2 linked regions of the Oryctolagus cuniculus genome follow. The protein of the gene in region 1 interacts with the protein of each later gene in a pairwise test. Links are inferred from orthologs where the notes say so. Each region holds a gene or a part of one and is shown in the gene's direction. Other genes may lie near its edges.

What was found.
Region 2: the proteins of SRSF11 (region 1) and SRRM4 interact in binary tests that used the Homo sapiens proteins (3 or more experiments, as listed by UniProt). The link is inferred for Oryctolagus cuniculus from reciprocal best matches to the Homo sapiens genes SRSF11 and SRRM4.

What each region holds. Positions count from the first base shown.
Region 1 is NC_091438.1:102,137,622-102,145,067, reverse strand, and holds part of SRSF11 (serine/arginine-rich splicing factor 11), read left to right. Parts: intron 1-2,514; coding exon 2,515-2,646; intron 2,647-6,585; coding exon 6,586-6,675; intron 6,676-7,446. UniProt on the Homo sapiens protein: May function in pre-mRNA splicing.
Region 2 is NC_091452.1:15,121,907-15,129,843, forward strand, and holds the start of SRRM4 (serine/arginine repetitive matrix protein 4), read left to right. Parts: upstream 1-3,430; 5' UTR 3,431-4,559; coding exon 4,560-4,690; intron 4,691-7,937. UniProt on the Homo sapiens protein: Splicing factor specifically required for neural cell differentiation.

The sequences.
Region 1 (7,446 bases):
GACTCTTAAACTTTTTTTTTTTTTTTTTTTGGGTATTCTTCATCTCCTAGCTGATCTCATCTGAAACATATTTCTATCAGTTGTCTGCTTTCTCATAACTTCTTTTACTATCTTGGTTCTTCTTAACAATTTGTCATAAGTAGTTCCAAATATACCCTAAAATAAGAGATGATAAAAAAAGTTTATTTAGTTCAGTACAATGGGCTTTGAGCCAGTTGTTTTAGAGAGTTACAGCAATTGAAGCCTTTTACTGCATTAGTAAGAGGAAGAGAGTGTTGAATGTCATACATTTCTGCATGAAGGCACTGAGTTGTACTCTGTACAAGTGAAAGGTGCTATTTTTATGTAATAGAGATAAATGAAGTAACAGGATCAGAGAGATTAGATAATACTCCAAGTAACTTGGTTTATAAATAAAAGTTGAACACAATTCCATTTCTAGAACTTCTCGACTCTAGTACCCTGAAAATGAAAACATGTAGAAAGTTTAGGTATATTTGAAATATTCCACAGAAAGGACTTGAATGGTCACTAAAAATTAAGATATCAAGACTAAGCAAAAGATTGAGAATAACAAAGACTTGAAGGAGGAGGGCCGGTGTTGTGGCACTGGCACCACATATGGGTGCCGGTTGGAATCTCAGTTGCTCCAGTTCTGATTTAGCTCCCTTCAAGTGCTTTGGCCCCTGTACCTTCATAGGAGACCAGAGAGAAGTTTCTGGCTCGTGACTTTTGCCTTGCCCAGCCCCAGCTCTTAGGCCATTTGGGGAGTGAACCAGTAGATGGAAAATCTCTCTGTAACTCTTGACTTTCAAATAAATAAAACCTTTTAAAAGGGGGTGGAGGTGGGGGGTAGGGAAGAACAGTGACAGCATCTATAGGTTAAATGTGCTACTGAAGTTCTTGGAAAACCAAGAAGTGTTTATTGGATGGTTCCCCGGGGATGAGGATGATTAAAAAAAACATTTCCTTTCTTTGATGTAATGGAAAAGAGGATGGTATAGAGACTGTAATGTTGATGAGAAAATGAGAGTAAATGAGGCAATTTGTACATGATTAGAGTTTTTTAGACTATGGATATAAAAAGTGGAATTTCAAAGAACAACAGTTAGAAATAGTAAATGATAACATACTAAGTAGTTTGCATCTATAAAACAGGAATAATAATGGGACTTACTTTTTTTAGACTTCATGATTGCCTATTTGTCAAGCACATAGTAAGCGTAAGCATTTGATACTTGATAAATAAGGTTTAACTTGAGCCGGCGCCGGCACACCGGGTTCTAGTCCCGGTCAGGGCACCGGAATCTGTCCCGGTTGCCCCTCTTCCAGGCCAGCTCTCTGCTGTGGCCCAGGAGGGTAGTGGAGGATGGCCCAAGTGCTTGGGCCCTGCACCCGCATGGGAGACCAGGAGAAGCACCTGGCTCCTAGCTTCGGATCAGCGTGGTGCGCCGGCTGCAGCGCGCCAGCCACGGCGGCCATTGGAGGATGAACCAACGGCAAAGGAAGACCTTTCTCTCTGTATCTCTCACTATCCACTCTGCCTGTCAAAAAAAAATAATAATAATAAGGTTTAACTTGCAGTAATAATAAATAAAAGATGTTTTTCAGTATTGTACGGTTATAGAAAATGGTGCAATATCTTTCTTTTGTGTGTGTGTGTGTGTGTGTCATATAGTAGTAGTTTTAACTTTGGAGTTCTTGGTTCATTGGGTATGAGAGGACTGGTCTGACAAGTTGACCAATACAGTAAAAAAGAGGAGAAATTCTAAGTATTTAAAGGTATTGTTGCTGCTAGCATTGTGGTGTAGCAGGTAAAGCCACCACCTTCTAGTCCAGCATCCCACATAGACATCGTGTCCTGGCTGCTGCACTTCTCATCCAGCTTCCTGATAATGGAAAAGCAGCAGAGGATGACCCAAGTACTTGGGCCCCTGCCATCCACGTAGGAGACCCAGAAGCAGGTCAGGCTCCTGGTTTTGGCCTGGTGCAGCCCTGGCTGTTGCAACCATCTGGAGAGTGAACCATCAGATGGAAAATCTCTCTCTGTTTCTAACTCTGACTTTGAAATAAATAAATCTCTAAAAAAAAAAGTATTGAGATTGCAAGGTTTTTTGTTGTTGTTGTTGTTGTTGTTTAAGATTTATTTATTTGAGAAGCAGATTTACAGACAGAGGGAGAGACAGGTCTTCCATCTGCTTCTATCCCTAAATGGCTGCAACAGCTGGAGCTGAACCAGTCCAGAGCCAGAAGGTTCTTCTGCGTCTCCCATGTGTATGCAGGGATCCAAGCACTTGAGCCATTGTCCACTGCTCTCCCAGGCCATCAGCAGGGAGCTGGATTGGAAGCAGAGTATACAGGTCACGAACCAGTGTTCATATAGGATGCCAGCACCAACATGTTTTTTATATGGAAGGGAATATTCCCACTTAATTGGCAGTTAATTCATATGTCTGGGACTAAGTGAAATGTTTATAACTTAATATATCTGTTGGCTTCCTTTTACACATTTAGGCGATCAAGAAGCAGATCAAGGAGGCGATCACATTCTAAGTCAAGGAGTAGACGACGATCCAAAAGTCCAAGACGGAGAAGATCTCATTCCAGAGAGAGAGGTAGAAGGTCAAGGAGCACATCAAAAACCAGGTATAACAGACTCTTGACATTGGATAAGAAGAGAACTTTTAGAATTGCCAAGAACCCAAATACTGTGCTACTTAAATTACAAAAGAGGCAAGGAATTTTGGGAAGTTAAAACTAGACAAGAATTTCTTCCATTCCATTCAACTACTGCAAAGGATTTATTGCTGCCATGCATTTCTTGTATTATACTCAGAAGAAAAACTCTATATGACCATATGTAATATATTTGTCCTTGTATATCCCAGTAATCAATGAGTTCAAAGCATTTATTAAGTATCTTTGTTTGCCAGAAACTGAACCATACTAGAATATCTCTTATCCCATAATTTGGGACCAGTAGAAGGTTAAAATGAGGATTCATTAAAGCAGGTCCCCCACATTAATGTTTGATTTTTACTTAAAACATACTTCCAGTAACCAGTCTTTTATACAAAGTCAGTTGTTTTTAATTAGTATGACTACTGAATGTTCAGCCTATAATAGGCTTTTCGTTGTATATTAGTCAATCTCATTAGGCTAATCAAAACGAAGTTGCTTAAAGAAATGATTATCATAAAAAAAGAATTCAACATTCTTTCCCTTAAGAATATTCTGTTTATTGTTTATTTGGAGAGTGTGATAAAATTAAAAAGGAACCACTGTTAGGTGATGGTTGCCACTTGGCTAATGTTGTTGGAAGGGGCTTAATTGAGAAGTGACTCCTGAGTATTCAGTTTGCATCCATTTAAAAAGATTCTGTGGGGTGCATAGTTTCAGGTAGAGAATGGTGTTTGCAATGTTAGCATGAGTTTTTGAAATGGTGAATATTTCTATATAGGAGAACCAGTAAATAAATTCAGTGTAAGGAGACAGATCATAGAAAGGGTTGTTTTCAGACTGTGTTTGCACGTGATCCTGGAGGAAACTGGAATGGGAATAAACAGAGTATCTTGAAATTAGGCGATAAGTACTTGGAAAAACAGAAATGATCATTGAACAGGATGGCCAGTAGAGGAAGCAATGAAACAGAGAACATAGGGTGGGAAGAATGGCGTGAAGTAACAGAAGGAATACTTTGATCTCTAAAATTATGGAATAGGGAGCCGGCGCTATGGCACAGCAGGTTAAAGCCCTGGCCTGAAGCACTGGCGTCCCATATGGGTGCCGGTTCTAGTTCCTGCTGCTGCTCTTCTGATCCAACTCTCTGCTATGGCCTGGGATAGCGGTGGAAGATGGCCCATGGCCTTGGGCGAAAAAATGTTGTTTCAATAAAAACAAGTGTAAAGGAATCCAAAAAGAATTGAGTTGAGGATAATTTTAATACTAGTTCATTACAGTAGCACTGAATAGTCCAAGAGTATATAGCATCAAAACAAGGTGGAAGTGGGGCAGGCATTGTGCTTTAGCAGGTTAAGCCACCTCTTTTAATACCCACATCCTGTAATATCATGTGCCAATTTGAGTCCCAGATACTCTGCTTCCACTCCAGCATCGTGCCAGTGCACTGGGAAGGCAGCAGATTATGGCCAAGTATTTGGGTTCCTGTGATCCACGTGGGAAACCTGTATGAAATTCCCAGCTCTGGCCTCAACCTGTTTCAGCCCTATCTGTTGAAGGCATTTGGGGAGTGAACTAGATGATGGAAGAGATTTTTCTTTCTCATTTTGCCTTTCAAATAAATAAATTTATCTTTTTTGGGGGGTGATTATGTTTCTTGTTTTATGAAATACCTGTTTATTTCTTTTGAGCAGTTCTTTTTTTTTTTTTTTCCCAATGGGTCACCCCCCAGTGGACGCTCCAGCGGCGCGCAGCCGCCTGCGCACCGCGCTGCTCCGAAGCCAGGAGCCAGGAGCTTCTCCTGGTCTGCCATGCAGGTGCAGGGCCCAAGGACTTGGGCCATCCTCCACTGCCCTCCCTGGCCACAGCAGAGAGCTGGCCTGAAAGAGGGGCAACTGGGACAGAATCTGGCGCTCCCACCGGGACTATAACCTGGCGTGCCGGCGCCGCAGGCGGAGGATTAGCCTATTGGGCTAGGACAGCGGCCAAGGGTCTGTTTTGTTTTGTTTTGTTTTGTTTTTTAAGATTTATTTTTATTTATTTGAAAGACAGTTACAGAGAGAGGTAGAAACAGAGAGGTGTCTTCCATCCGCAGGTTCACTCCCCAGATGGGCGCAACCACCAGAGCTGTGCCGATCTGAAGCCAGGAGCCAGGAACTTCCTCCGGGTCTCCCACGTGCGTGCAGGGGCCCAAGGACTTGGGCCATCTTCTGCTGCTATCCCAGGCCACAGCAGAGAGCTGCATCAAAAGAGGAGCAGTCAGGACTCGAATTGGCACCCATGAGGGATGCCGCCACTTTAGGCGAGGGCGTTAACCCACTGTGCCACAGCGCCAGCCCCCAATAAATTGATCTTTAAAAAACTAACACAAAGATAGAATGGCTTCATCTGTGACAGAAGTTAACTTGGGCTGTATGTTTTACAAGAATATTGATGATGTGAGTGATTTTGGTAATACATTATGGGTTTTGGACTGATAGTGGAGGTGGTTAGAGAAAATGGTAAAGTCATCTGAGAAAATAAGAGACTGTTAAAGAGCCTCAAGACAATTATTAAAACTGTTGATGTTTAGCATCAAAACACAAAGAAATTAGGCAAAATCCTAGTTTCTTTCTCAAGACATACAGTATATTTGTACATTGGAAAGATGTCTTGAGTAAAACACCAGGAAAACGGAATTTTATTTATTTTATTTTTTTAAGATTTATTTATAGGCAGGCACTGCGACTTAATAGGCTAATCCTCCACCTGTGGCACCAGCACACCGGGTTCTAGTCCCGGTCAGGGCGCCAGGTTGTGTCCCGGTTGCCCCTCTTCCAGGCCAGCTCTCTGCTGTGGCCTGGGAGTGCAGTGGAGGATGGCCCAAGTCCTTGGGCCCTGCACCCACATGGGAGACCAGGAGAAGCACCTGGCTCCTATCTTCAGATCAGTGCGGTGCACCGGCCACAGCGGCCATTGCGGGGTGAACCAACAGAAAAAGGAAGACCTTTCTCTCTGTCTCTCTCTCTCACTGTCCACTCTGCCTGCCTGTCAATTAAAAAAAAATATTTATTTATTTCTTTGAAAGAGTTACACAGAAAGAGGAGAGGCAAAGAGAGGGAGAGGTCTTCCATTCACTGGTTCACTCCTCAGTTTGCCACAGTGGCCAGAGCTGTGTCGATATGGAGCCAGGAGCCTCCTCCATGTCTCCCACGTGTGTGCAGGGGCCCAAGGACTTGGGTCATCTTCTACTGCTTTCCCAGGCCACAGCAGAGAGCTGGATCAGAAGCGAAGCAGCCGGGTTGAACCGGTGCCAAAAGGAAATACAGGATTGTTTGGTGCAAAAAATTAAAGGATGGATGCCCTAGCAGTGAATACATTTCTTGTGATAAACATACCCTGTGTTGGAGTGCTTGGATTTATATCCTGGCTCCATTCCTGATTACAATTTCCTGATAATGCATACCCTGGGAGGTAGCTGTGATGGCTCAGGTAACTCTGGATTCACTTTCTGGCTCCAGGCCCAGCCCTGAATACATGCAAGCATTTGTTAAGTGAGCCAGCAGATTAAAGCTCGCTCGCTCTCTCTCTCTCTCTCTCTGCCTCTAAAATAAACAAAAAGCTGAATTCCATAGTTGTTTCATAATGCACATTTTCCATGAACTCTTAGAAGATCTGTCTGCATGGATTCACAGTTTTACACCAAAATAACTAAAACTTTAATTCAATTTTTTCATAACTTTTTGAACCCCACCTTTGCCACATGAACTAGTATCTCTAAAAATACTTTCTATCAGAATTGTAAATCATGCTTTTACAGGTGTTATTAGACATAATTTTGCTTTTGTTTTGATTTGTAGCACTATTTAAATTGCAGTTAACAGAACTTTGTAATGCCTTCTTGAATTGTGCTTGTTGATTTATTAGAGACAAAAAGAAAGAAGACAAAGAAAAAAAACGTTCCAAAACACCACCAAAAAGTTACAGTACAGCCAGACGTTCTAGAAGTGCAAGCAGGTAAGACAGAATTATGCATTCTTCACTTTTTGAAAAATGTTTTATTTCAGAATAATTTTAAATTTATAAAAATTGTGAAGTAATAATGTAAATGGTTCTGAAATATCCCTAACCAAACTTCCCTTATTATTTACTTTCCATATTAGCATGTTTGTCATAATTAATGAGCCCACACATACAGCTTCCCCTGTTTTGTTTTTATCTAAACTGCATCTATCCTTCTTAACCTTCCTAGCCAACATTCTCTGTTCAGGTTGAATTGAGTTTTTTGTTACTCAGTTTTAACTTTTAAGTATAAGGGAGAATATGTATGTCTTTTATGTCTGGCTAATTTTACTCACATGATGCCCTCCTGTTCATCCATCTACTTACAAAAAAATCACAATTTCACTATTTTTATGGCTAAATTATATTCCATTATATGTACTACTTTTTTTTATCCATTCATGTGATGACAGACACCTTGGTTAATTCCATAAATTGACTTGTGATGAATGAATGATGAATTAGGCATTTCTTTGATGCACTGATTTATATCTTTTGGATATATACCCTGTAATGCTAGATCATATGAGAGTTTTAAGGTTATTTATTTTATCTGAAAAGCAGAGTTAGAGATTTTCCATCTGCTGGTTGACTCCCCAAATGGCCACATCAGCTGAAGCTGGGCCAGATCGAAGCCTGGAGCCAGGAGCTTAATCTGGGTCTCCAATGTGGGTGCAAGGGCCCAAACACTTGGGCCATATTCACTGCTTTCCCTGGCCATCAGCA
Region 2 (7,937 bases), on another chromosome or scaffold:
TGTTTCTCCGATGAACTGGGATTATATCTATCAAGGGTTTGGCACACATGGTGCCTAGAACATAGAATATAGTAACATATATTTGATGAGAACCTAGTGTTATTACACCAGACAGCAATGAACATATTTGTCTTGTAGAATCTCTGGAACTAGGCAACCAGGGCAGGAGGATCCCTGGCTCACCCCTGGTATTCTAGGGACATTCGCAGAAATGCATGTCTGTGTTCCAGAAGAAGAACAAACAATAAAGAGCGGTGTGGGGTTCAAATTAGATGCGAGGTAGAACTTTCAAAGAGTGACGACTGGTAAGTCCTGAGTAGTGCAGTCATTTTTTTCCTCCCTAAGTATTTATATGAGGAGATACAGAATCTTATGATTTGAATTGGGTTAGCATGATCCTGTTGTTGGTCTCATTATCATATTTTCCATTGTCTCCATAATTACTTGAATCTTTCACAATTCACTGGACGTTTAGAAATGGGTGCAGACTGCCAAGTTTCCTGGTGTCCCCTGATGCTGGTGGATAATGATTATCCCCATTGCACTCAGAGATGTCCTAGACACGGACAGATGAAGGGATTTACCCAAAGTGACCCAGTGCTGTTAGTGAGGTGAGATTTGAACTGCCCCAGGAGGAGGAGCAGCTATTTTTCTGATCGGGGGGAAGAATGCCTAGGAATCCCATTAGTTCCTGCTTTGGAGTGTTTCGATTTGCAAATCTTGGAATCGCTTCTCCTAGACTCCTGCTTTTTAAATGAGAGAAGGATACCAACCTGGTGAGGAAGTTCCCTCTGAGTGTGGTTGGCAAAATGACTTCATCTGGGAGGCCAGTTCCCACCCATCAGTCATGGGTCTCTTGAGAAGGATTCTGAGGCTAGGTCCTAAAGAGTTCTGTGATGGATTAGTGATGTCTTCCACTGGCCGAGTACAGAGGAAAGCAGCATTTGTGCCATGTGTGTATAGTCACCAGCCGGCATGTTGATAGGTCTCAGGTTATGCAGTGGGCCGGCTTGCACCTGATAAAATGAGAGAATTATCCTGAATGAGTGAGACACGAGATGGTTATATTTTCATCAAGAAATAGAGGAGATGGAAGTTGAAGCTGCATTGGAGAAGCCAGACCTAAAATTGAAGTCACTGATAAGGTAGAAAGGGGACAAAAGGTAAAGATGAAAGACCAGAAAATGAGTCAGACTTGAGCTCCTTTGGGAGGGAGCCCTGTCCGTTTACCTCTGGACTCTGTCTCTAGCTCTGAGACTGACCAAGATCCTGGACATCTGGGAATGATTACTGAACTGAATTCTAGCAGGTGATGATTCCAACAGCAGCAGCCGTCACAGCTGCCGTTGAGTGGGTGCTTGGTATGAACCAGAAACAGTACAGAGTATTACCAGTAATGTTGCATTTAATCATCACAGAAGCCGCAGGAAATGTGTACTCATGTCTCCATTTTTCAGATGGGAAAACTGAGGCAGGGGTTAGTTACCAGGCCAAGATCACCCAGCTAACAAGGGCTGAGCATCCTACCCGAATTGTGTCTGACTCCAGGGGCCACGCTCTTAACTCAACTGATGATAGGTATTCCTTAGTAAACTGTGTTCTACAGCCTCACTCCTTCCACCCTCGCAGCTAGTCCATTTAAACACAGGGTATTATTTTTTATAGCAGCTTCACGTTGCTGATAAAGAGACTGAGGCATAGACGAGTCTCTCCTCTGGAATCACACAGCTAGGAAATGGCAGAGCTGGAATCTGAACCAAGAAGCCTGACTTCCAGCCCTGAGCTTAATCCTGGAGACTCCCCACTGAGAAGTCCCAACATTGTGTGCTTCTAAGTGTGTGCTCATTGGCATCTGAGAGTTTTCACACAGCCTCACCCTGGGATAAGCCTAATGTCCCAAAGATTCCCACTCCCGAGCAAAAACAGAAACTACTTTTTCACAAACTTCCTTTGTTCCCTGCAGAATCACCTTAGACAAGTCCCTTCAACTTCCTCATCCATTTTTTTAAAAAAGATTTATTTTATTTATTTGAAAGGCAGAGTGACATAGAGAGACAGAACGGGAGGGAGAGACAAAGCCATTTTCCACCCACTGGTTCACTCCCCAAATGGACACAGCAGCCAGAAGCCAAGAGTTTGGAATGTAGTCCAAATTATAATCCAAATCCCCCACGTGCCTGGCAGGGGTCCAAGTACCTGAACCATCTTCTACTACTTTCCTGGGCACAGTAGCAGGGGGCTGGACCAGAAGTGGAGCACTCTGGGACTCAAACCTGAACTTCCATGGGATGTCAGCGGTGGGCAGCTAAAACCTGCTGTGCCACAGTGCTGGCCCGACTTGCTCTTTTTAAAAGAAGCAGCTTACTTGGCTGCTGTGGGATTCAAAAGGAGAATTGTGCAAATGGAAACTTTGTCAAGATTCTTGCAATTAGGCTTGGAGATGCTGATTGATCTTGTCAGGCAAGATCCCACCTACTGCAAGTGACTCAGTACATACCCTAAACATCAGGTAATAACTAAGGATAGTTTAAAATATCCCAGGTCTCAACTGCATTTAAGCGATATCAGCTTCAGAGTGGGAAACAGGTCCTGAGTGAGGGAATTTATTTATTTATTTAGCAAGGGCTCCGGGTTGAGGGAGGTGGGGAAGAAGGGACGGTTATGGCGCGCCTAGATGCCTCCAAGAATCCCAGCCCTGACTGACCCTACCTCTCCAACAGAGAAGCCAACAAATGCATCTCTAGTTGTTGGCCAGAAGGGGTCAGTGCAGAGCGGCGCGCTCAGGGACTCCACAAACCCTGAACACAGAGGAACCCAAACGCACGCATGCTCTTCCAGACCAGCGCTAAGAATCGCCAGGTTTCTTCATCTTCCTCCTCGCCCCCCCCCCCCCCCCCGCCTCTTGCTCTTGCTCTTACTTGGCATCTATTTTCCTCTTCTCTTCCAAAGGATTGCAAAAGTTACCACTGGTGCCCCGGCAGGAAGCATGGGTTTTATTCACTGCTGTGGCTAGAACCAGGTTCCAGGGGCTTGGGCGCCTCTGAGACTCAGCGAGACCTCCTTCCCAGAGTTTACAGCCTGGCGGGTGGGAGGAAGGAACAACTCGGCTGAGATCCAAAGGCTCAAGGGAAAGATGAGCTGAGGGGGTCCTGGAAAGATCTCCTTGTCTTCAGGAGACCCCTAAGGAAAACGAAGAAAAAATTCTGCGCCGATCCTCTGTGGCTGGGGCTTATCCAGATCCTAGATCTCCGCTCGCTGGGCCCAGGTTCCAGCCAGGAGCGGGTGGAAGATGGGGAGGAACGACGGGAAAGTAACTGTCTCCCCACCATTGCCAAGGCTTCCCCTAAACGCTTTCTTTTCCATAACGTGCTTCTTTCGCCAGACCCACCCCCGCCCCCCAACCATGCTTAAGAAAGTAGCAGCCGCCGAATTCCCCAGGAGCGCCCCCTCCCCCGAGGGTGGGAGGGGCACCGTCCCCTTTGGAGGGAGTTGTCAGCAGGGACTCTGGACAGGCTCACTGCGAGGCACAAAAGAGACAGCCTTGACCGCGCCGCAGGCACAGATGTAGCGCCGCGCCCCTCTGCGGGCGGGGTCCCCACTCGGCAGATGGCGAGGAGCCGAGTCGCCGAGGGATTGTCCATCAAATGGCACTTTCTGGGTGGCGGGGACCTCGCGGCCCAGGCGCAGAGAGCACAGGGCTCTCCCTCCCCCTTTGCTGGCCTGGGCGGTGCCTCCTAGAAGCGTGGGGTGGGGTTGGGCCGGCAGGAGCGGGTAGGTTTAAGTTTTTTTACTTTCCCCTTCTTGGGTGGAGGATCCGCTCCAGGACTTGGGGAGGGGCTGGGAAGGGAGGTGGCTGGCGCCGAGCGCACGCCAGGATGGGGGTTAGAGGAGGAGGCCCGCGGTGATGGAGGAGGAGGGAGGGCTGAGAAGCGAAACCTGCTGCCTGGTTCGGGTCGCTGTGCCGGGATTGCTGCTCCGTGGGGTCAGCGCTGCAACTCTGTGGCCGCGGGGCCCTGGTGACAGGCGCACGCCCCGCCCTTTCTCCTCCCAAGACCTACGGGCTTTTGTTATGCAGATGGCGGCAGGAGGCTGAGCCAGAAGAGGAGGGGGTTGGCGGAGAGGAGGAGAGGGGGGAGGAAAGTGCAGCTCGCGCGACCAGCCTCCTGGTCCAACGTCACATTGTGCGAGAGACAAAACCCGGGCGCGCCGGAGCTCACACGCGCACGCACACACAGTCGACCCGGCCGCCTCTGCTCTCCCGGTGCTGCCTAGAGAGCCAGGCTTCCCGTCCCTTCCTGGGGCGCGCGGAGGCTCGCCAGCCCGGAGCAGCAGCCCGGCGCCAAGGCGGAGGGCGAGAAAAGCCGGCAGACGAACCTTTCTTCCCCACCGCCTGCCCAGGCTGGGCGTCCCATCCCCCGCCCTGAACTCCCAGCTCTCCCACCCCACCACTCTGGGTTTCAGGAGCACACCAAGCCGGGAGCCGGGCGTGCCCGCGTGGGGAATCCACGTTTCAGCACTTCGGACAGCGCCTGGGTGCCCCGGCCTGCTTGGGGTTGGTTATGGCGAGCGTTCAGCAAGGCGAAAAGCAGCTTTTTGAGAAGTTCTGGCGAGGAACCTTCAAAGCGGTGGCCACCCCGCGTCCCGAGAGCATCATTGTCGCCAGTATCACGGCCCGCAAGCCACTGCCAAGGTAATGACCTCCTTCTTAACATGGGGGGGGACCCTGAAGGTCCCCCTTTCTTTCTGGTCTCTGGCCTGAGCCCTGGGGGCCCTGAGGGTGGAGGCAGGCAGCTGGGCCAGGATGCCTGTCTTTTCATCACTATTGGGTATCCCCGCTGGAACACGGGAACTCATTGCTTGCGTGAGACGGAAGCTGGCGCGTCTCTGAGGGGAGCAACACTCAGTGGACCCATAGTCCCTATGCAAGGCGTTTGGCGTCTTACCGTGAGCAGTGCAGGTGGGGGTAGGACTTGACTGAGAAACTTTTCTTGCTATCACCGAGCTCAGCGGACCCCAGGGCAAAGGAGCGGCAGACCTGAGGTGGTGGTGGGGTGTTGTAAAGATGTGAAAAACAAGGACTGAATCCGTTCAGGCAGTGTTCAGACATAGCAGCACATTTCCATCCTTAGCTCAGAAACTAGCGAGCTCCGAATGTTTCGTCAAAAAGCCCATATGCTGTTCCCTCAAATACACCCCAAACAGCACCCTCCTCCACGCCTCTCTGGCTGCTGCTGAATTCTCTCCTCTCCAGCTTCCAAAACCAGGACTCTGAGCTCCAGAGTCAAGGAGGAGCCTTCCAAGATCGTGAAGATGATCCTGGGAGAGTTTTATTTGGTTTCTCAAAAAGAATCTATTTGCACTGAGCTTAGGGGTGAGAACGAATCCTTGGGTGGTGGCAAAAAAGGTGTGATGGAGGGGGAAACAGGCAGAAATGGAAGCAAGGCAGAAAGGGAGGAGGAGATGCAGAGTAGAAGAGAGAGAAGTTTGGGGGAGACAGAGGCATTCCAAGCCAGAAAAAAACTCAATGCTTTTCCTACATCATTCAATTTAGAGGAGTTTGGGGGTGGAAGGAAGAAGGCTGTGCCCTGTGTCAGGGAAAAATCAAGGCAGGACGAGAACTTGTCTTTTGCTGGTGTTGGTTGGACAAGCAGTTCAATGGAAGATAAAGAAGCAGTCCAGGATGGGAGAGGGGGCTGCTTGGAAAATGTATTATTCCTGGCAGGCTGCACTGGGGAGTATATTGCACACGTGTCTGGGGAAGTGCTTTGGACAGAATGCCTGTTCTGGGCACAACTAAATCTGAACTTTCTAGTAGGTGTAGGTTGGGAGACTGATGTGGAATTATGTCTGAAGGATCAAACCCACACTGGAGAACTTTTCCCAGGGCAATGGGGATGCTCACAGAGGTCTTTGGGAAAAATGGGTGTCCCATTTCAGGAAGGGGTGGGCAAGAAACACAGAGTATGGCAGGCTGCAGGCAGCAGCCAGTATTTATGGGTGGGAGGAAGGGGGCCCCCACTGAAACAGGCTTGAGGGGGGGGGCAGTAGCACCACATGCCATTAAAAGCAAGCGGATGCTTCTCTGCATGGAGGGAGGTTCTCTGTAGAGCGTTTTGACGTCAGCGGTTTTCTCCTCCTGGGTTCCTGCCATCCGTTCCACCTTTGGAGTGCACCGACTATTGGCAAATCAGGGGCTGCGATGGCCAAAGAAAATGCCCTTGGCGAAGGGACTAGGGGAAATTTCATTGGAAACTAGAAGCGTGGCATTTGATTCAGAGTCGTCCATCTATTTCAAGGTTCAGGGAGAGACGAGCAGACTCCCGGTGGTGTGCGAATTCAGAGAAGCGTGCCTCATGTCCACCCTCTCCCTTTGTTCATCTACTGCTGTCATTCCCTTTCCTTGGTGGTAGTCTCAACCCTGTGTATTGTCCACAAGATCTCCCAGCCCTTGTCCTTTGTGCTAATTCTGATTGAGTCTATGACTTTTCCAATAGCCACCTGCCTCTGCCCCTCCCCTGGTATCTTCACTTGGTGTCTTTTCAAGTCCTAGATCCCCTTGGAAACCATCCCTGAAATAAAAGTCTGAGCCCGTAAGTCCCCAATTTATATCATGCTGGAAGGATGCTGTTGGACACTTCTGTAACAGGCGTGGCCTCTCTGTAGAACACATTCCAGTTTTATAGCTGTTACTCCTGCCTCGGAGTAGAGAGTGAACAGGAAACATTTTCATCCAGGTCCTCCAAAAGAAAGAAAGTGGGGGTGGGTGGGAAGACTGTGTTTGAGTTGTCTTTTAACAAACTAGCTATGAAACCTGAATCATCTCCATTGTCGCCTCAGTCAGCCACATCCAGAGATGGCCAATTTCCACTTCCTTTGCAATGTTCTATACTTATTTCGGGATGAAAAGCACCGTGTTTCCACAGCAGAGTTCTTAGGAGGAATAAAGGACACAGGCACTGACACAGCGTCAGCAGAGCCCCCGTGGCTTCCTCTAGAGGCAATCCGGGGAGCTGGTCTCTTCTGAAATGTTGTTGAGTGAGTCAAGCCCAGCCCGAGGAGCTGTCTGCAGGAAGATGGGGGAGGGGAGGCGGTCCACCAGCCAGTTCTGTTGGTTACACACTTAATATCTGTTTGCAGGTGAGAGCTATCCCCCCCAACCCCGTACTGAACTTCCTCAGGATATTTTAAGTCTACCTCTAAAGATAATTCAGTACCGGGATAGAAGCCTACATTCAATTTGTTGATTTCATAGCAGTATGTATACATCATACAACTGTACTACAAGCAAAATCTGTCACCCTGAAGTCCCACTCCCTCATCTTCTCCCTCACCCCACCATGATGCCTCCTTGACAAGGCAGTAGCTTGATTATAAGATGGCAAGCACGGGTCTGACTCAGCTGTCAGAGTAGTATAGCAGAGTGGGAGACAGTATATTGTGGTGGTTAGGAGATCAGACTGGAGCATGAGACACCTGCATTCCTGTCTGGTTCTGTCATTTGCTAGCTGAGTCTCCTGAACAGGTGGCTCTACCTAGCTGAGCCTCTTTGTGAGCTTGAAAATGGAAGTAATAACAGTAGCTACCTCAGACGCCGAGCTGTGAAAATTGAATCAGGTAAAACAACCCCCCCCCCCATCCCAAACTTCATTCTACAATAAAGATTGGAATGTCCAAAAAGAAATTAACACTTCTTCAGTATTGTATTTCCCTTCTTACCCATTTCTCCCTCAAATTATAGAAACTATCAAAATTGTGAAATTTCAACCCCTGACAGCTACATTGGAGTTACCCACTTTGCATGGGGCAAGGTGGTCCCACAGCTCCCATCCCTGAGGGAAATGTTACCTGCTTTCTGTCCTCACTATCTCAGCTGGAGGAAGGGCTGGTAAAGAATTATCTGGATTTAGAATTGATTGGAACAAGGTCTTCACAGAGCA